Linked DNA regions of Struthio camelus. The protein of the gene in region 2 interacts with the protein of the main gene of each other region in a pairwise test. Links are inferred from orthologs where the notes say so. Each region holds a gene or a part of one and is shown on either strand. Other genes may lie near its edges.

Region 1 (10,459 bases), on a different chromosome or scaffold from region 2:
GCCTTTCCTGCCTGTTAAGCTGCAAACCCACATTTCTCCAACAACCCTCATAGGCTTCTGCCTCTTGCTGCCTCCCGCTCAGTTTGTGCGCCAGCCCTTGCCATTTGACCCCTACGTGCGAGGTTTTCCTGCCTGTTAAGGGCAGCTCTGCTGGGCCAGGCCCACAGGTCCACCAGGCCACGGAGCCTGTCTCCCAAAGTGCCCCGAAGAAGACACCTAAGGGGTATATAACCAGGTGGTCACAGGTGATGATCGCCCCAGATACTCTCCCATGCACCCTGCAAGCCCAGCTCAAGGTGCTCCCACGCCGCATGTCCATGCTGCGTAGCTAAAAGCCCTCTGTGGATTCCCTCCCGCCAACACAGTTGCCCTGTCTACCCTCAAACCCAGCTAAACCTTGAGCATCCACCACCTTTGGCAAGAGCCCAACCGTCACCTTGCTTTGTCGGCTCCAAATCTGGCTCCTCCTGGCCCCGTCTGGTGCTCCCTATTCTTGAACCGGAAGAGAGAGCGAGCAGTCACTCCCCATCCACTGTCTGCAACTTGCTCTTCGGACTCCATAGGCTTCATCACCATCCCTCCTTTCAGACTAAAGAGCCCTCCCTTACTCAGCCATTCCCTGTCCAGGGCCACCTCGTACATTCAGTCAGTCCCCTTTAGTAGCCTCCCAGTCTCCTCTTGTGGGTGTTTTACTCTTCCGCTGCCATGCCAGGCACAGCTGCTGGTTTAGACAAGTTGATTTCCTGCTCCGCTCTCGGGCCTTCCACTGCACCCTCCAAATTGGTGCTGCTAGCATTCCCCAGCCTCTCCTCACCCCTGGAGATCCTGCTCACCAGCTTCCAGTGCTCACTGCAGACTGCAAGGAGGCAGGTTACCTCTTGCAGTTGCCCCTCACTTCTCTCGTAGGGGAAAGCTCGCCCCATCCCCTTTCGCGTTCACAGCCTATTCCCTGCAATTGGATCTAGAAATGGTTCTTCTGCCATTGTTTGTTCCATGGCTCATTTCAGACTCTCAGCACAACGGCGAGAGTCACTTGCAGCGTCCCCAACGCCCATTACAGTCCCCACGTGGTGGGCACTGAGTGACCCTGGGCATGCACTGGCAAGATGCGGGTGTGGTGGGAGCATTAAAGTGCTGCCCTGCAAGCAATCACAGGTGGGTGAGACGCGCAGTGCAGTGGGCTGAACACTAGTCTCCCCAGTACCTGGTAGTAATAGTCATCCAGGTAGGGATCAGTGCTCTGCAGCTGCATCATCTGGATCTTGGACACCCAGTCCTTCTCCCGCTGCAGCATGAGGTTGGCGTAGGGGTCTTTGCGCATCTGCTCCTGGTGGCTGCTCCGGTGGCCCCCTCGGTCCCCTACTGAGCCGTTGAGGCTCCGGTGCTGGCTGGCAGGAGGCAAGAAGGGCACCCGTGAGCACACAGGAGCTACAGGAAGGGACAGAGAGCAGTGCACAGGCTAGCCCCGGCAGCACAAACCCCCCCAGAAGAGGGTCATGCAAACCCTCCCCAGTGCCAGCCGGTCCCTTCCCCCGGCCATCCCTCCCTGCTCCTTGCGTGGGGCAAACACTCACTTCCGGTTCTGCTGCTGCCGCTGGTGCAGGAGGCGGCGATGCTGGGGGTGAAGGTGGGTCGTGTCTGGCCGGAACATCTGCGGCTGCGGCCTGAGGAGAGCGAGAGGTTGCAGAGGCGGCAGGGACCCCTGGAGAGCCCAGCCTCAGCTAAACACACGGCCAGAAAAGGCACAGGACCTACCTCAGGCTCTGCAGGTGGGATCCAGGGCCCGGTGGGTGCTGTGGCTGGGATGGAGGTGGAGCAGGGGGAGCCCCGAAGAAGGCACGAAACCCGCTGGCCGGAGACATCATCTGCCCAACTCTGCCCTGGAGCAGCTTGGGATTCACAGAGGGAAGGGGACTCCCAACAAGGCTGGAGACCCGGGCAAACTGGCTGGGAGACATTCGGCCAGCCTGGAGGGGCAGAAAGAATACCTCAGAGTCAGCTAGGGAGAAATTCAGGGCCAAGGAAAAGGGTCCAGCCAGGGTGGCCACTTCTGCCTGGGACAGCCACGAAGGACAGCTGTAAAGCCAGCCCTGATGGCCATGCCAAGGGCTGAAGAGAAATGTAGGGCCCCCAAGCCCTGCCCAGGGAATTGCAGGAAGGGACAGCTGAAGGGGTAGGAAGTGGGGCTTTACCTGGGCTCCTCCAAGCAGCTGTGCTCTCTGCAGGTGGGTGAGGACAGGAGAGACACTGTGGGGGAACGGGTGGCCCAAAAGGGAGGAATTCTGGTGAAAGAGAACAGAAAGAGGACTCTGGTCACAGCCCTCCCAGGCAGGACAACCCAGCGGACAGACGTGGAATGGAGGAGGGCACAAGACCAAGCCCCGTGAGAGTGCCCCAGGCAGGCTGGGAGCCAGGCCAGGCTCCAAAGAGCAGAGTTAACTCTGCCCAGGGCACGGCACGTTGGGGCAGACGGGCCAAGCTAGGGAAGACAAGACAAAGCAGTTTGCTGTCTGCACACATGCAGAGTCCAGTGATCTGAGAAAGCAGCTTATCTGCACAACAGGGCCTGGATTTACACGTGGGAGCCGAAAAGGAACAGGGGAACAGGGTGGTCACGATTTCACGGGAGGTTGGAGGACCTCAGAGCGATGTGGGCCTTGAAGGCAGCACCCACGGAAAGGGGTCAAGAGGAGACTTGGTACCGGCACGTTGCAGAGCTGATTGGGGGACATCCTCTCGCCGTAGGGAGCAGGGTAACGCTGCTGCATGGTGGCCCGGATGTGAACAGGCTTTGGACATAGAATCTGAGGGCAGGAAAGCAATACAATTCAGCAGTCAGTCCGCTGCTGAAACCATCTGAGCCACCAGCCTGGAGAGTGGAGCTGAAAGCAAGTACCTGCTGGTTGAAGTTGGGCACAGCAGCCTGCTTGGGAGGGGTGCCAATGGGGATGGCCCGGACTGGGGGACTCCCGATGACCGGGGATGACGAACGCCGGGGCAGCGCCCGCTCTGAGGGGTCCCGCTCTTCCTCTCGGGCCTGTGGGGGTCTCTGAGGCAGAGCATAGTCCAGCACGGACACCGAAGGCATCTCCTGCAAGCAGAAGGGGAGAGAAACCTCCCCCCAGGATAGCAGTCACTTACTGGGACTGGGCAGACGACCACCACACGTCCCAGAGATATTCCTGCCTGGCTAAGCAGTGAGGGAGACAACAGCTAGAGGCCCTCAGCCTCCACGGAGATATGGCACTCGCAGCACAAAGCAATGCTCTGAACTGCCCACCCGCAGAGCCAGTCACTGCCCCATCAGTCCTCCTACGCAGTCTCTTCCACACCCCACTCCATTTCCCTGGGCACTCGGCAGCCCCACATGACGGCCAGGGATCCCTGGGAAATCCCCGGGCCTGTCCAGCAGATCTCACATCACTGCCAGGATGCCTGTCTGCAGTGACAGCGCTGCCTGGGCACAGCGCGTGAATGCTCCATATTGCCGCTGCACAGCCCTCGTGCATGCACATACAGGCTGGGTTTCCACCCTCACTCACCCTGCAGAGCTGGGAGACAGGCTGGATGCGCAGCGCACTCCACTTGCGCTTTAAAGCCTGATTATTAATTAAGCCGCAACAAACAAAACCCTCTGCCTTGAGGCGCCAATATTCCCAGACCTCACAGGAGCACTGACATCTCTCAGACAGAACAGTTACTTGGGATAACATACTGGCAATAAACCACCCTAGCGTGGCTCTCCAGCCGCAGAGGGAATCAGGAGGGCAGGGGAGATTTCTGAGAGGCATCTATAAATGAACTGAAACACCTTGATCTGGACCCAGCAAGAAGCAAGCAAAGTGCACTGCTTTGCTAGGCTGTTCTGGAGGTGCTTCCCAGCACTGACAAACCTTTTGCAGTATAGCAAGTCTCACCCTTTAGGGCCCAGCTGCCTGACACAGGGCTCAGGGAGAAATCACAAGGGATGTTAGGGAAGTCTCTGCTTCCTCTTTCAGGAGAGGCTCCAGCTCAGTGGGATGGACCAGCGACTCAGCACGAGATCTAGGACGGGCAAACCGCAAGTGCCCAAGCGCATCCACACCATTTCTGCTCTGGGTAGGGTGAGCTAGGATAGGGAGAGCATCTCCCCTCCTCCCCCAGAGAGGTCACAGTTGAGCGCTGGCACATCAGCACCGCAGCATCGTACCTGAGTGAGAAGCGGCCCTCGGATACGCCGCAGGACAGCCGAGCCATCCCAGATGCTGGAGTTCAGCCCTCCTGGCTGCTGGAAAGCAGACGTGGGAGTCAGCACCATGGAGGCCGCCAGGCCTGCCCCCAGCCCAGCCCTCCAGCCTGCTCCCACCTGGGCAGGGGCCCTGGTTTGCACTGCCTGCATGATGGCGGGGTCTTCCAGCTCACTGTCGATGACCAGCCTAGTCAGCCTCTCCGCCAGGGTGTCCTCATGGTCGCCCAGCAGGTCTGCGTCATCACCACCCGGTCCATCCTGCTCCCCAGCCGCCGCGGGCTTGTCTTCCAGCTCTGCCAGCCGCTCGTGCGCCTCCTGCCAGTCGTCGTCTGCGTGGGATTCGCAGTGAGGCAGTGAGGAGGGCAAGCCTGCTCCGCATGCCGGCATCGTAGCTCCCCCACCGCAGGCTGAGCCGCGAGCGATGCGCTCACCAGGGCAGAGACAGGATGGGCAAGGATGGAGGGCCCAGCCCTGAGGGTGGGGGGGCAGCAGGGGCTGCGGAGATTTCACACCAGGCACCGCAGTGGTGAGGGAATAAGGGGGAAAGCGAGCACTCACCAACAGCCCCAGCTCCAAACGTGTCATCGTTGAACTGGTCGATATCTTCATCTTCCTCGCCCAGGGCCTGGAAGGCGTCTTCATCTTCATCCAGTGGGCAGTCCTCCAGGGACTGAGGAGAGCAGGGGATGAGCACGCGACTCAGGGCCGCTTGCTGGCTGCTAACACACTTTGCCAGACCTCCTCTTCCCTTATTCATCTCGCATCCCTCATTCCTGCTGTCATCCTTTACCCCTCTTTAGGAGCCCCCTAACCCCGCCTCAGCCCCACCAAAAGACTTCCAGCATCTTCGCCCCCTGCCCTAAGTTTCCTGCTCTGCCTCGGTCCCTCACCTTCCCCCCGAGCGGCTCTAACCCTCTCTGACTAGCAGAGGGGGCGGCCGCCAGGAGACCAGAGCTGGCAGCGCAGAGCAGAACTCATCCTTGTCCACGCCAGACCTCACGCAAGCAGGTGCCACCACACAGCCCCAGAGGAGCGCTCCCTGCCGACCGTCTCCCCCAGCCGGGGCAGGGGATCCCTGCTCTGCCTCCACAGAGAGAGCCCCCTGCCCCCTGCCACAATCCTCCTTGTGCCCCGCGGCCGCACATGCACGGGGTGCGCAGAGACCTGCCCCACGGGAGCCTGCAGCCCGCCCCGGCTGCCATCTCCCCCGGGTCCCCTGTCTGGTGCCCCACAGGCCCCGTCTCCCCTCAAGCCCTCCACAACATGCCCCCACAGGACCCCTCTCCCCCAAAGCCCCCCGCCAGGCGCCCCACAGGCCCCCTCTCCTCCCTGGGCCCCCGCCACGTGCCCCCACAGGATCCCTCTCCCCCAGAGCCCCCCGCCAGGCGCCCCCACGGGCTCCCTCTCCCCCAGAGCCCCCCGCCAGGCGCCCCCACAGGCCCCATGTTCCCTGAGCCCCCCGCCACGTGCCCCGCAGGCCCCGTCTCTCCCCAGCGCCCCCCGCCAGGCGCCCCCACAGGCCCCGTCTCCCCCAGGCGCTCCCACAGGCCCCGTTACCCCCCCGGCCTCTCCCTGCCCCAGCCCCCGCCGCCCCCCCCTCACCTGGTACCGGAACATGGCGGCGGCGGCGGCGCCCCCCGCCCCGCAGGCTCCGCGCGGCCCGCTCCGGCCCCGCGCCCCGCCGCGCATGCGCCGCCGCGGGCGCACGCGCATGACGTCACCCCCGCCCTCCACCGGCCGCCGGGGTGCCGACGGGGGGGGGGGGGGAAGCGCGCCGTGCTCATGCGCAATGGGTAGGGCGCGGAGGATCCGGCAGGGGGCCGAGCGCCAGGCGGGGGGCGGAGCACCCGGGTGCGTGAGCCCCGCCCCCTCCCCGCCTTAAAGTAGCAGAGTCGCGATGGGTTCTTCTTAAAGGGCCAGCGGCCCCTTTTCTCCGCGGGGGCTGCTCTGCGCCTGGGGGTCTCCGCGGAGCCCGAGCTTTCCCCCCTCCCAGAGGGGCCGAGCAGAGCAGCGGGCACACGCCCGTGGGCACCCCCTCGCACGCAGCCGCGCGCGCGCGCGCGTGCACACGCGTGTACATGCGTGCACAGACGGCCACACGCGTGCGCTCCCATCCCCGTGGCGTTGGGACAGGGCTGTGCCCGCCGGCCCTGGGGCAGCGCCGGCTCCTGGGCCCCGGCCTGGTGCCAGCCGCCTCCCCCCCAGCCGTGTCCCCCCCCGCCATGGGCGCCGGGAGGGCGCCCGCCCCGTCGGGGCTCGGCGGTGGCCGCCCCGTCGCCTGTCCTGGCAGCCGTGGCCGCGGGTGGCTCCACCTCGTCCCTCCCCCGGCGCCTCCTGCCTCCCTCCCGTGGCCGGGGATTAGCGGAGGGACCGCCCGGGCGGGGACGGCGCCGGGCCACCCGCGCCTCGCCTGCATGTAGGCGGCCGAGGAGCAGCCCCGCTGCCCCCGGCCCCCCCGGGCCCCCCGGCCCCGGCACCATGAAGGACCGGCTGGAGCAGCTCAAGGCGGTGAGCGGCCCCGCGGCGGCCCCGGGGGACCCACGGGGCCACCGGGGCGTCACGGGGGGGATCGCCGGGACCGGCCCCACGGGGCACCGGGGGGTCACGGGGGGATTGCTGGGACCGGCCCCACGGGGACACCGGGAGGTCATGGGGGGGATCGCCGGGACCGGCCCCAGGGGACACCGGGGGGTCACGGGGGGGATCGCCGGGATCGCCCCCACGGGGTACCGGGGGGTCACGGGGGGATCGCCGGGACCGGCCCCAGGGGACACCGGGGGGTCACGGGGGGGATCGCCGGGATCGCCCCCACGGGGCACCGGGGGGTCACGGGGGGATCGCCGGGATCGGCCCCACGGGGCACCGGGGGGTCACGGGGGGATTGCTGGGACCGGCCCCACGGGGACACCGGGGGGTCATGGGGGGGATCGCCGGGACCGGCCCCAGGGGACACCGGAGGGTCACGGGGGGGATCGCCGGGATCGGCCCCACGGGGTACCGGGGGGTCACGGGGGGATAGCTGGGACCGGCCCCAGGGGACATTGGGGGGTCACGGGGGGGATCGCCGGGATCGGCCCCAGGGGACATCAGGGGGTCGGGGGGGATTGCCAGGATCGGCCCCACGGGGTACCGGGGGGTCACGGGAGGATCGCCGAGACCGGCCCCAGGGGACATCGGGGGGTCATGGGGGGGATCGCCGGGATCGGCCCCAGGGGACACCGGGGGGTCACGGGAGGATCGCCGGGACCAGCCCCACGGGGTACCGGGGGGTCACGGGAGGATCGCCGAGACAGGCCCCACGGGGCACCGGGGTGTCACGGGGGGGATCGCTGGGATCGGCCCCACGGGGTACCGGGGGGTCACGGGAGGATCGCCGAGACCGGCCCCAGGGGACACTGGGGTGTCATGGGGGGGATAGCTGGGACCAGCCCCACGGGCCACCGGGGTGTCATGGGGAGATCCCTGGGACTGGCCCCACGGGGCACTGGGGAGTCCTGGGAATGGTGACCAGCAGCGCATTGCCCCACATCACCCAGGACATGGGGTGCTGCGGCAGGACCCCCCACGCGGGATGTGTGGGGCTGGGGGGTGCCCTGCTGCACCTTGTCCCCTGGGACATGGGGTGCGGTGGTGGGACCCCACCTGGGACGTGTGGGGCTGGGGGTTTCCGGGCTGGGTGCCTTCCCCCCGAGAGGCCGTGCAGCTGTGGGGCACGTGAGGGGCTAGGAGCGGATGTGGGTCAGCCGGGGCCACGCAGCCCCGCGTCTCCGGCGGTTACTTCCTCCTCCTCTGCGCTCTTCCTCAGCGGCCCCACTGCAGGGTGCCGAGCCCGGGGTGCAGCGCGGGGCCGGGGGCAGCCGGGAGCCTTGGCAGGGACTTAGCGGGGATTACAGAGCCGTCAGCCGCGGGGAGAGGGGATAAAACGCTCGGGAGGGAGAGAAGGGATTAATTTTATTTTTATTCCCGTGGGAGGAGCAGGGGTGGGGGATGGAGGGCAGGGCGCAGCCAGGCGGCCCCCGGCTCGGGGCTCCCAGCCGCGCGCGGGGCCGAGGCGCCAGCTCAGGGGCCGGGCCCGGCCGTGAGCCCCCGGCCCGGGGGGCACCGAGCCGAGCCGCGGCGGCCGTGCGAGCCGGCTCCCCTGCGCGAGCCGGAGGCGCAACGCCAGGGTGACAGCCGCTCCTGGCGGTCCCGGGGAGGCTGCCGAGCCGAGCCGCCGCCGGCCATGGGACGGGCAGCTGGGCCGGAGGGTCCGGCGGGGGCCCGAGCGGCGGCCCGGCAGGGCTGTGTGGGCACGCGAGAGGCAGCTGCCGCCCGCCGGTGCCTGTCCCCGTCCCATCCCCATCCAGCGAGCCCTTAATACGCTGCCGCCGGCCAGCTGTGAGATTAGCCCCGCTCCTCCCTGCGCAGATGGCACAGCAGCCTCTGCCCGGCTTAACCCCTGCCCCGCCAGCCCCGGCCCCAAAACCCTGCGGCGCTCCTGGCCGGGGGGTCCCCTCCGGGCCCTGGCTGGCCCTGCGGCGCCCGTCCCCGCCGGGGCCGGAGGGGACAGGGGCTGGCGCGGCGCCCGTAGCCCCCTTCCCGCCTGCCTTGGGTGGCCGCCCCCACGCCGGGGCGCTCGGCCTCCAGAGGGGACCGGCGCCAGCACGGCGCTGAGCCCCGGGTGGGTGCAGGCTGAGCGCCGCCTCGCCGCCTCCCGCAGAAGCAGGACGCCGACGATGACGCCGAGGAGCTGGAGATCGCCATCGACAACACGGCCTTCATGGACGAGTTCTTCTCCGAGGTGAGCGGGGCGGCCAGGCCGGGGGGCCGGCAGGGGGCCGCCGGCTCCGGCCTAACGCCCACCCGGCTTGGCCAGATCGAGGAGACCCGGCAAAACATCGACAAGATCGCGGAGAACGTGGAGGAGGCCAAGAAGCTCTACAGCATCATCCTCTCAGCCCCCATCCCCGAGCAGAGTAAGGTGCCCCGTCCCGGGGCTGTGGGTCCCCTTGGCGGGGACGGGCGCGGGGGTCCCCTTCGCGGGCCGCCCCGGCTCAGCTGCCCGTGCCCCCCGCAGAGACCAAAGACGACCTGGAGCAGCTCACGGCCGAGATCAAGAAAATGGCCAACAGCGTCCGGAACAAGCTGAAGAGTGAGTGGCGACGTGCCTGCCGCCGTGCCGCGGGGCCGAGCAGGGTGGCCGGGGGTCCCGCGGGTGCCGGGGTGGCGCAGGGCGCCCTGACAGGCTGGGGTCTCCGCTCTGGCCAGGCATGGAGAGGAACATCGAGCAGGACGAGGCGCGCTCGTCGGCCGACCTCCGCATACGCAAGTCCCAGGTGAGGCTCCGGGATGCGGCCCCAGGACCCCGCTGCCCGGGCGGGGGGTGGGGGGCAGCCCCCCCCACCGCGTCCGGGGCGTCCCCGCCGCTCACGCCCCCGTCCCCTTCCCCAGCACTCGGTCCTGTCCCGGAAGTTCGTCGACGTCATGACCAAGTACAACGAGGCGCAGGTCGACTTCCGGGAGCGCAGCAAGGGCCGGATCCAGCGCCAGCTGGAGATCAGTGCGTCCCCCCACCCAGCCCCCTGCCCGCTGGACCCCTGCAGGCCCCGCCCCTTTCATGGAGTGGGCAGGGCTTCACCAGATGGGTGGAGCCAGAGCCATTCAGGCCCCTCCCCTGTTGGCTGAGGCGGGGCTTCTCCAGTAGGCCCCTCCCCCCGGGGGGCCCCCCCGCCATGACCCTCGGTGCCCCACAGCCGGCAAGAACACGACGGATGAGGAGCTGGAGGAGATGCTGGAGAGCGGGAACCCCTCCATCTTCACCTCGGGGGTGAGGGCGCAGGGGGTGCCGCGGGGGGGGGGGGGGAGAGGGCGCAGTGTCCCGCCGGCAGCAGGGACCCCCCCGCTGATGTCCCCCCCGCCCCGGCCCCGGCTCTGTCGCAGATCATGGACTCGCAGATCTCGAAGCAGGCACTGAGCGAGATCGAGGGGCGGCACAAGGACATCGTGCGGCTGGAGAGCAGCATCAAGGAGCTGCACGATATGTTCGTCGACATCGCCATGCTGGTGGAGAACCAGGTGTGGGCCGTGGTGCGGGGCCCCGCACGCGGGCTGCCTGGGGACCTGTGCATGGGGCCACCTGGAGACCTCTGCATGGGGACCTGTGCATGAGGCCGTATGGGGACCTGTGCATGGGGACCTGTGCACAAGGCCACCCGGGGACCTGTGCATGAGGCTGTATAGGGACCTGCGCAT
Region 2 (10,518 bases):
CCGCGCGCTCCCGGTACCGACCGGGCCCAGAACCCCCCTCCCCGCGCGCTCCCGGTACCGACCGGGCCCCAAACTCCCTCCCCGCGCGCTCCCGGTACCGACCGGGCCCAGAACCCCCTCCCCGCCGCTCTCCCGGTACCGACCGGGCCCCGAGCCCCCTCCCCGCCGCACTCCGGGTACCGACCAGGCCCAGGGCCCCTCCCCGCTCCCGGTACCGACCGGGCCCCGAACCCCCTCCCCGCCCCACTCCGGCTACCGACCAGGCCCAGGGCCTCCCCCCGCTCACCGCTGTACCCCCCCTTGGCCTCCTCCGCCATCGCCGCCGCGCGCCCCCGGCAACCGACCGCGGCCCCGCCGCCGCCGCGCACGCCACGCCCCCCCCCGCTGCGTCACTTCCGCCTCGCGCCGCCGCCGCCAGCGCACTCGCCTTCTGCGCATGCGCCTCCTCCCCCCCGCGCTCCGGCGCCCCCTGCGGGGAAGGAGGGAGGGAGCGCGACCGCGGCGCCGCCGGTTCGAGTCCCGGCGCCGGCGGGGAAGGAGGGAGCGAGGAGGCGTCGCCGGTTCGAGTCCCGGCGCCGGCGGTTCCTGTCCCAGCGCGGAAGGAGGGAGCCGGCGCCGCCAAGGACCGAAAACTTTAATGGGGATCAGGGCCCGGCCCGGGAGCCCCGGCGGGCACCGGCGCAGCAGCCACCACGACCGGGCAGCACCGGCCGCGGGGAGCGGAGCGCCGAGGAGGTGACGCCGGAGCCGGGCGCGCGGGCCGTGGCAGCAGCGGCGGCGCCCGAGACCGTCGGTCCAGGCTGCGGCCAACCAGCCCGGCCCCCCGGGCGAGTCCGAGCGCCGGGGGCCGCCGCGAGCCTCCGTCTCCGAGCCGCGACAGTCCGCCCGCGGAGACGGGGATGATGGGGGGGGGGGGGGGGGTTCAGGCCAGGAACACGACGAAGACGATGAAGAAGACGATGAGGACGAGGAAGATCTTGACCATCAGCCAACGGTTGGAGGTGACGGACTGGAAGTACTTGAGGATCTCGCCGTGGGCGGCCTCCACGTTGAGCTGCGCGTCCTCCACGCTGGCGTCGATCCTGGGGGCAGAGGCGGGCGCTGAGGGCGGGGAGCCCGGCGCGGGGTGAGGGGGGACACGGGGGCCGCTACCTCTGGATGGTCTCCTCCTGCTCCTTCACCATGTGCGCCAGCTGCTGGAAGATGGAGCCCAGCTCGACGATGGTGGACTCGATGTTCTGCATGGTGTCGGCCCGGCTCTGGATGTACGAATCCTGCGGGGCGGGAGAGGGTCGGGGGGCTGCGCGGTCGGCCCCCGGCGTCGCTGCCGCCCGTCCCCCGTCCCCCCACCTGCTCGTGGATGAGCTGCAGCTGCTGGCCGCTCCGCGCGTCCATGTCGATGGCGACGTCGGCGGCTCGCGGCGCCTCCTCCCGCAGCACCGCGGAGCCGCCTGCGGCAGAGCGCGGCCTGAGCGCGGAGACGGGGGGGCCGAGACCGCCCCGCACCGAACGTCCCCCCCCACCACCACCCCATCCCTCCGGGGTCCCCCCCCCCCGGCCCCGCCACGGCGAGCGCTCACCCAGGTTGCCGGCGGCGAGGGGCAGAGCGGAGACGGGGGCGCGGGAGAAGTGCTCGCGGCGGCTGCGCTGCTGCTTCAGGTTCTGGGGGGAGGCAATGGCGGGGTGAGAGCCGGCGCGGCGGCGGCGGGGGGGAAGGCGACGGCGCGGGGGCGAGCGCTTACCTCCGTCCTCACTTCCAGCACGGATTTGAAGTCGTTGGACATGGAGGCCAGCTTGGACTGCGGAGGGGAAGGGCGGCAGGGTGAGCGGCGGGGCGGAGGGAGCCGCCATCGCCGCCGCCGCCGCCGCCATCGCACCTGCAGCGACACCACCACCGTGTTGGAGTGAGTCCGCACGTGGCGCCCGCTCTGGCTGCCCTTGGCCCGCACCACGTCCTGCAGCTGCGCGATCTGCTTGTTGAGGCCGTTGATGTCCTGCGGGGCGGGGGGGGGGAAGGGGGGGGGCGTCAGCGCGTCCGTCCGTCCGTCCGTCCCCGCCGCCGCGTCCCCCGGCCCCCACCTGCTTGATGATGTAGGTGAGCTCCTCGATCTCCACCGCTTTGTCATCGAAGAGCGACTTGCGCTTGGCCACTGCGAGGCGGAGGGGGGTAGAGAAGGTGGGGGGGGTCGGGGGGGTGAGGGTCTTCGCCGTCGTGTCCCCCCCCACCCCGCGTTGCGCCCCCCCGGCCGCACTCACGGATCGTCAGCTTCTCCAGCTTGGCGAAGGTGTTGCTCAGGTCCTTGCCGATGCGCCTGCGGCGGGACGGGGGCGCCGTGAGAGCCGGGGATGGTGTGTGTGGGGGGGACACACGCGTGGGGGCCCCCCCCCAACTTCACCGCGACCCCCTCCCCACCCCGCCATCACTCACTTGGCCATGACGGCGAACTCGCTCCGCTGCCGCGCGGCGCTCAGCGCCGGTCTGCTGGGCTGCAGCCCGTTCTTGGGGGGGGGGGACGGATGCGGGGAAGGGGGGGGGGTGAGTGGGGGGGGCAGCGTGTGTCCCCCCCCCGTCCCCCCTCTCCGTTTTAGGACTCACCTGCCGGCTCTGCAGCGACTTGCAGGCGGAGAGGAACTCCTGGGTGCGGTCGCGGCAGGACATGGCGGCGGGGGGGGCGGCGGCGGTGACGGGGGGGCCGGCGGCGGAGGCGGGGGGCAGCGCCTGCGTCCGGGGGGGGCCCAGGTAGACGCCCTGCTCCGTGTTCCTAGAGCCGTGGCGGCGCCGCGCGTTCATCGGGGCTCATCACCTGCCGCCGGCCGGGCGTCAGCTGGGGGGCACCCGCTGCTGCCGGGGGGGGACCTCCGCGACCCCCCCCCCCACTCCCCTCCGTCAACACCTGCTGGGGACCCAGGCGTCCGGGGCCTCCTGCGGCCCGGGGACCCAGGCGTCCGGGAGCCCCTTGCTTCTCCTCCTTCTCCAACCTTCACTAACACCTTGGGGGGGACCCAGGTGTCCGGGACCCCATTGCCCCCCCACCCCCACCCCAATTCCCCTGAGAGGGACCCAGGCGTCCGGGGACACCCCCCCTCACCCTCCCCACACCCCTACGGTCCGCTGGGGACCCAGGTGTCCGGGAGCCCTCGCTCCCCTCCTCTCCCAGCCCTGCTGACACCCTGGGGGGGCCCAGGCGTCCGAGGGACCCAGGCGTCCGGGGGTTCCCCTCACAACCCCCTGCAGGGGCCCAGGCGTCCAAGGGACCCAGGCGTCCGGGGGTTCCCCTCACAACCCCCTGCAGGGGCCCAGGCGTCCGAGGGACCCAGGCGTCCGGGGGTTCCCCTCACAACCCCCTGCAGGGGCCCAGGCGTCCGAGGGACCCAGGCGTCCGGGGGTTCCCCTCACAACCCCCTGCAGGGGCCCAGGCGTCCGAGGGACCCAGGCGTCCGGGGGTTCCCCTCACAACCCCCTGCAGGGGCCCAGGTGTCCGAGGGACCCAGGTGAGTGGGGCTTCTCTCCCAACCCCCGGGAGGGGCCCAGGTGTCCGAGGCCACCGTTCCCCCCCTCACCCCCTCCCACCCGAGGACCCAGGTGTCCTGGACCCCACTGCCCCCCCCAACCCCTACTAACACCCTAGAGGGACCCAGGCGCCCGAGGGACCCAGGTGTCCTGCAGCCCACTGCCCCCCCCACGACCCCCAGGAGGGGCCCAGGCGTCCGAGGGACCCAGGTGTCCTGCAGCCCACTGCCCCACCCCCCCCCCACGACCCCCAGGAGGGGCCCAGGCGTCCGAGGGGCCCAGGTGTCCGGCACCACGCTGCCCCTCCCCCAAACCCCCGGGAGGGGCCCAGGCGTCCGAGGGACCGACGGCTCGGGGCGACCCCCCCCCCCCCCCCCCCAACGAGCGCGGCCGACCCGGAAGTGCTCGCGGCCCCGCCCCGCCCCCCCCGCGCTCACCGGGCCGCGGCTCGAGCGCGCGGCGCTGCTGCCCGGCACCCACCGGCCCGGCCCGACGTCACTGCCACGTCTCGCGCCGCGCGACGTCAGGCGCCGCGCGCGCGACGTCAGGCGCCCGCGCCTTAAAGGGGCGATGGCGGCGGGCGCGGGTGGGGCCCACCTGAGATACCACCCCCACCCGGGACACCCCCCCCACGCAAAATCGGGGACGCGGGACACGAGGGGCGACACGAGAGTCCTTTATGGGCCGGGGAAAGAGGCCGTTACGGGCCGGGGGGGCCCCGCGGCGGCGCCTCACGTCGTCGCCTTCCGCTTCTTGGATGGCGGCACCGTCTCCATGGCGGCCCAGAGCGCCTCGGCCTCGGCCTCCTCCTCCTCCTCCTCCGCCGCCGCCGCCGGGGCCGGGGCCGGGGCCTGGCGGGGACCGCGGGTGACGGGCGGCAAGGGGGACCCGCCCCCCCACTTCCCCCCGTGTCACCCGTGTCCTGCGTCCCCCGTGTCCCCCCGACATGTCCCCACGTCCCCCCGTGTCACCTCACATCCCCCGTGTCACCCGTGTCCTGCGTCCCCCATGTCCCCCCGACATGTCCCCACGTCCCCCCGTGTCCCCTCACATCCCCCGTGTCACCCGTGTCCTGCGTCCCCCCGTCCCAACATGTCCCCACGTCCCCCCGTGTCCCCTGTGTCACCCGTCGTGTCCCCCTGACATGTCCCCATGTCCCCCCGTGTCCCCTCACATCCCCCGTGTCACCCGTGTCCTGCGTCCCCCATGTCCCCCCGACATGTCCCCACGTCCCCCCGTGTCCCCTCACATCCCCCGTGTCACCCGTGTCCTGCGTCCCCCCGTCCCAACATGTCCCCACGTCCCCCCGTGTCCCCTGTGTCACCCGTCGTGTCCCCCTGACATGTCCCCATGTCCCCCCGTGTCCCCTCACATCCCCCGTGTCACCCGTGTCCTGCGTCCCCCATGTCCCCCCGACATGTCCCCACGTCCCCCCGTGTCCCCTCACATCCCCCGTGTCACCCGTGTCCTGCGTCCCCCCGTCCCAACATGTCCCCACGTCCCCCCGTGTCCCCTGTGTCACCCGTCGTGTCCCCCTGACATGTCCCCATGTCCCCCCGTGTCCCCTCACATCCCCCGTGTCACCCGTGTCCTGCGTCCCCCATGTCCCCCCGACATGTCCCCACGTCCCCCTGTGTCCCCTCACATCCCCCGTGTCACCCGTGTCCTGCGTCCCCCCGTCCCAACATGTCCCCACGTCCCCCCGTGTCCCCTGTGTCACCCGTCGTGTCCCCCTGACATGTCCCCATGTCCCCCCGTGTCCCCTCACATCTCCCGTGTCACCCGTGTCCTGCGTCCCCAATGTCCCCCTGACATGTCCCCACGTCCCCCCATGTCCCCTGTGTCACCCGTCGTGTCCCCCTGACATGTCCCCACCTCCCCCCGTGTCACCCGTGTCCTGAGTCCCCAATGTCCCAACATGTCCCCACGTCCCCCCGTGTCACCTCACATCCCCCGTGTCACCCGTGTCCTGAGCCCCCCCAATGTCCCCCTGACATGTCCCCATCTCCCCCCCAATGTCGTCCCATGTCCCCACGTCCCCCGTGTCCCCTCACATCTCCCGTGTCACCCGTGTCCTGCGTCCCCAATGTCCCCCCGACATGTCCCCACGTCCCCCCGTGTCCCCTGTGTCCTGCATCCCCCCGTCCCCCCAACATGTCCCCACGTCCCCCCGTGTCCCCTCACATCCCCCGTGTCACCCGTGTCCTGAGTCCCCCCAGCGTATCCCCCCAATGTCCCCCCATGTCCCCCAAAATGTCCCCTCACATCCCCCGTGTCCCCTGTGTCCTGCATCCCCCCGTCCCCCCAACATGTCCCCACGTCCCCCATGTCCCCTCACATCCCCCGTGTCACCCGTGTCCTGAGTCCCCCCAGCGTATCCCCCCAACATGTCCCCATGTCCCCCAAAATGTCCCCTCACATCCCCTGTGTCACCCGTGTCCTGTGTCCCCCCAACATGTCCCCCCACGTCCTGCGTCCCGCCATGTCCCGCCATGTGCCATGTCCCCTCAATGCATCCCATGTCCCCCTCAACACGTCCCCCATGTCCCATGTCCCTTCAACATGTCCCCCAATGCATCCTGTGTCCCCCATGTGTCCCAAGTCCCCCGTGTCCCAAGTCCCCAATGTGTCTTGTGTCCCGTGTCCCCCATGTCCTCCCATCCCAACATATCCCATGTCCCAATGCGTCTCGTGTCCCCCACATCTCCATGTCCCATGTCCCCCAATGTGTTCTCCCATGTCCCCTGCTCCCCCGATGTGTCCTGTGTCCCACCATGTCCCCCAATGCATCCCATCTCGTGTCCCCATGTCCCCCGTGTCCCAAGTCCCCCGTGTCCCATGTCCCCCCAATGCGTCCCACGTCCCTCAACATGTCCCCATGTCCCCCTGTGTCCCAAGTCCCCCATGCCCCATGTCCCCCCAATGCGTCCCACGTCCCTCAACATGTCCCCCCCATATCCCCCCGTGTCCCAAGTCCCCTGTGTCCCATGTCCCCCCAATGCGTCCCACGTCCCTCAACATGTCCCCATGTCCCCCTGTGTCCCAAGTCCCCCATGCCCCATGTCCCCCCAATGCGTCCCACGTCCCTCAACATGTCCCCCCCATATCCCCCCGTGTCCCAAGTCCCCTGTGTCCCATGTCCCCCCAATGCGTCCCACGTCCCTCAACATGTCCCCATGTCCCCCTGTGTCCCAAGTCCCCCATGCCCCATGTCCCCCCAATGTGTCCCACGTCCCTCAACACATCCCATGTCCCCATGTCCCCCCGTGTCCCCATGTCCCCCCATGCCCCATGTCCCCCCAATGCGTCCCACGTCCCTCAACACATCCCCCCATGTCCCACCGTGTCCCCAAGTCCCCCGTGTCCCAAGTCCCCCCAATGCGTCCCACATCCCTCAACATGTCCCCATGTCCCACCGTGTCCCCAAGTCCCCCGTGTCCCCAAGTCCCCCGTGTCCCAAGTCCCCCCAATGCGTCCCACATCCCTCAACATGTCCCCATGTCCCACCGTGTCCCCAAGTCCCCCGTGTCCCAAGTCCCCCCAATGCGTCCCACGTCCCTCAACACGTCCCCCCCGTGTCCCCCCCCCCCGGCGTCCCCGTTTCGCCCGCGTCCCCCGCGCCGGGCGCTCACCTCCCAGTCCTGGCGGCCGCTCAGCAGCAGGCAGGTGAGCCGGGACTTCAGGTAGACCTGGAGGGGGGACGGGGACGGGCTCAGGGCCGGGCCGGGGTTTTCGGGGGGGGGGGGACGGAGGGGACAGGCGCGCGCGGAGCCCCACCTTGTGCCGCGGCCGCCTGCAGCCCAGCTGGTGGACGCAGAGGAAGCGGTCGAGGCCGCAGGAGGCCACGAGGGGCAGGCTGGGGTGGCACTGGAGACCCCGCACGCCGCCCGCGACCCCCTTCAGGCACTGCAGCAGCCGCCCTGGGCGGGGAGGGGGGAACAGGGACAGCTGGGGTGAGGGGGGGGCCACCGGCCACCACCCCACCGCCGGGCCACCCCGCCGCCCCTCACCTTGGCGCAAGTCGATCACGGCCACGTCCCCCCGGGCGCTGCCCACCACCACCGAGCTGCGGGGCAGAGCAGTCAGGGTGGGCCCAGGCGTCCGGGCGTCCCCCCCCCCGCCACGAACCGGACTCACTTGGCCCCCGGCGCGAGGGAGAGGGCGGTCAGCGGGTACTCGCCGAAGGTCGTCTCCAGCACGGGCCGCCGCTGCGGGGAGCTGGGGTCGTAGACGCGCACCTGGGGAGGCAGCAGGGTCCGGCGCCGGCCCAAACCGGCCCCCAAAAGCGCCCCCCACCCCAAAAGGGCCCCCCTTCCCCCAAAAACCGGTCCGTGCCCCCCGACCTGGTGGTGCCCGGTGCACGTCACGATCTTGTCGGAGCTGGGCAGGAACTGGAGGTCGCGGTCCCAGACGGGGACGCGGAGGTTGAGCCAGTCGTTCCTCACCTGCGGGGCGGTGAGTGGGGGGGGGGGACGTTTGTGGGGGGACATTTGGGGGGGGACATTCGCGGGGGGACATGCGCAGGGGGACGTTCGCGGGGGGGACGTTTGCGGGGGGACGTTCGCGGGGGGACGTTCGCGGGGGGACACACGGGGGGCTGCAGCCGGCGCGTGGCCACCCCCGACGCTCGCAGGGACGCCGGGACACTCGCGGGGACGTTTGTGGGGGGACACTTGCAGGGACATCGGCCCACGGCCGCCCCCGAGGCTCATGGGGACATGGGGACGCCCGAGGGGGCACTTGGGAGGAAATGGGGGGGGACGCTCATGAGGACACGCAGGGACGCGGAGGACACTCGTGGGGACGTGGGGGGACACTCGTGGGGATGGGCAGGGACACAGGGGACACTCCAGGGGACACGCAGGGACACAGGGGACACAGGGGGATGCTCATGGGGATATGGGGGGACACTCGGGATGCACAGGGACATGGGGGACACTCGTGGGGATGTGCAGGGACATGGGGAAACTCACGGGGTCACGGGGGGACACTCGGGGACGTTCATGGGGAGGCAGGGGGACAGGGGCAGGGCCACAGCGGGCGCACGGCCACCGCCGACGCTCGCGGGGACGCTCAGGGACACGGGGGGGACACTCATGCGGAGGCGGGGGGACACTCATGGGGATGCAGGGGGACACGGGCAGGGCCACAGCGGGCACAGGGCCACCACCGATGCTCACGGGGACGTGGGGACACTCAGGGACACAGGGGTCACTCGTGTGGATGCGGGGGGACAGGGGCAGGGCCACAGCGGGCGCAGGACCACCGCCGACGCTCGCGGGGACGCTCAGGGACATGGAGGGACACTCATGGGGAGGCAGGGGGAGACTGGCAGGGCCACAGCGGGCGCAGGGCCACCACCGACGCTCGCGGGGACGCTCAGGGACGCAGGGGGGACACTCAGGGACACGGCGGGGGGTGACACTCACGTTCTTGGCGCGGAAGACGGGCTCGCCCGGGCGCTGCAGGTCCCACACCTTGAGGCCGTTGTCCCGGCCGCCGGTGGCGACGCGCTGGGGTCGAGCCGGGTCCTGGCGCATGCGGCACAGCCCGGCGCCCGCCCGCAGCTCCAGCTGCGCCCGGGGCCGCCGGGGACGTCACCGAGCGGCGGGGACAGCCCCGGCCGTCCCCGCCGCCGTCCCCCTCTTCCCCTCACCGCCGCCGTCCCCGCACTCACGTCGCCGCCGCCGCCGTCGCCCCACACCTTGAGCAGCCCCGACTCCACGCAGGTGATGAGGGCGCTGCCGGCACGGGAGAGAAGCCGCCGTCGGGAAGGGAGCGGTGGCGGCGGAGGGGACACACGAGCCACCGTCCCCGTCCCCCCCCCTCCGTCCCCGCGGCGGCTCCTACCTGCCGTGAACCGCCAGGCCGCAGAAGGGGCCGTCGCCGCCGGGGCAGAGCCGCGTCTCTGTGAATTTCCCCTTCTCGGTGCTGAAGAGCTTCACGCTCCGGTCCAGGCAGCCCACCAGCACCTGGGGGGCGGCAGCGGTGGTGTCAGGGCCCAGGTGTCCCCAATGTGTGTCCCCCCCCCCGCCCCCGCCACTGCCGTCGGGCCCAGGCGTCCCCGGCCCCTCACCTCGGACTCGGCGGCGTCGCCCCAGCACAGCGCGGAGACGCCCTGGGCCCGGCTCAGCGTCCCGGCGCTCGTGTAGTTCGTGGCCTCTCTGCGCTGCAGGTTCACGCCTGGGTGGGGGGGGACGGGATGGGATTGGGGGGGGCCCTGGGGGATCCTGTGCCCCCTCCCCAACCTGCGCAACGGGAGAGGATCGGCCCCCCCCCCTCGCTCGCCTCCCTCAGCCCCTTGTAACAGCCCCTTTGGGACAGGAGACCCCCCAGGACTAGGCCCCCCCCCCCCAGGACTGAGAACGCCCAGGACAGGGGCCCCCCTGGGGCAGGAGCCCTCCCCGGGGCAGGAGCCCCCCAAGACCGAGACCTGCCAGGACAAGAGCCCCCCTGGGACAGGGGTCCTCTCGGGACAGGAGTCCACCAAGACTGAGACCTCCCCCCGGGAAAGGAGCCCCCCCAAAGACCGAGACCCCCCAGGATAGGAAGCACCCCAGGACCGAGACCTGATGGGACAGGAGACCCCCAGGAGGACTGGGACCCTCCAGGACAGGAGCCCCCTCAGGACAAGAGACCTCCAGGACCAAGACCCTCCCGAGACAGGAGCCCCCCAGGACCAGGACCCCCCGGGACTGGGACCCCCCCTGGGACAGGAGCCCCCCCCATGACAGGGGTCCCCCAAAACCAGGACCCTCCAGGACAGGAGCCCCCCAAGATCAGGACCCTCCAGGACAGGAGCCCCCCCAGGACCGGGACTCCCCCGGGACAGGAGCCCCCCCGGGACCGGGACCCCCCCTGGGACAGGAGCCCCCTCAGGACAGGGGTCCCCCAGGACCGGGACCCCCCTGGGACAGAAGCCCCCCAAGGCCCCCCGGGACCGGGACCCCCCTGGGACAGGAGCCTCCCCAGCACAGGGGTCCCCCAAGACCGGGACCCCCCAGGAC

What was found.
Region 1: the proteins of STX5 (region 2) and STX3 interact in binary tests that used the Homo sapiens proteins (3 or more experiments, as listed by UniProt). The link is inferred for Struthio camelus from reciprocal best matches to the Homo sapiens genes STX5 and STX3.

The regions. Positions count from the first base shown.
Region 1 is NC_090946.1:3,778,531-3,788,989, forward strand, and holds the start of STX3 (syntaxin-3), read left to right. Parts: upstream 1-6,561; 5' UTR 6,562-6,706; coding exon 6,707-6,736; intron 6,737-8,927; coding exon 8,928-9,008; intron 9,009-9,083; coding exon 9,084-9,183; intron 9,184-9,284; coding exon 9,285-9,359; intron 9,360-9,475; coding exon 9,476-9,543; intron 9,544-9,658; coding exon 9,659-9,767; intron 9,768-9,960; coding exon 9,961-10,034; intron 10,035-10,147; coding exon 10,148-10,282; intron 10,283-10,459. Other genes in the region: PATL1 (protein PAT1 homolog 1), read right to left, coding at 1,205-1,388, 1,575-1,664, 1,756-1,967, 2,193-2,282, 2,703-2,804, 2,897-3,091, 4,190-4,264, 4,346-4,557 and 2 more. UniProt on the Homo sapiens protein: Potentially involved in docking of synaptic vesicles at presynaptic active zones. Apical receptor involved in membrane fusion of apical vesicles.
Region 2 is NC_090976.1:559,380-569,897, reverse strand, and holds STX5 (syntaxin-5), read right to left. Parts: upstream 4,045-10,518; 5' UTR 3,949-4,044; intron 2,805-3,948; 5' UTR 2,792-2,804; coding exon 2,597-2,791; intron 2,500-2,596; coding exon 2,429-2,499; intron 2,313-2,428; coding exon 2,257-2,312; intron 2,151-2,256; coding exon 2,080-2,150; intron 1,995-2,079; coding exon 1,878-1,994; intron 1,800-1,877; coding exon 1,743-1,799; intron 1,663-1,742; coding exon 1,581-1,662; intron 1,452-1,580; coding exon 1,351-1,451; intron 1,275-1,350; coding exon 1,153-1,274; intron 1,083-1,152; coding exon 923-1,082; 3' UTR 922-922; downstream 1-921. Other genes in the region: NXF1 (nuclear RNA export factor 1), read right to left, coding at 287-317; speckle targeted PIP5K1A-regulated poly(A) polymerase-like, read right to left, coding at 4,243-4,362, 7,144-7,200, 7,289-7,431, 7,522-7,577, 7,649-7,749, 7,855-7,956, 8,941-9,084. UniProt on the Homo sapiens protein: Mediates endoplasmic reticulum to Golgi transport.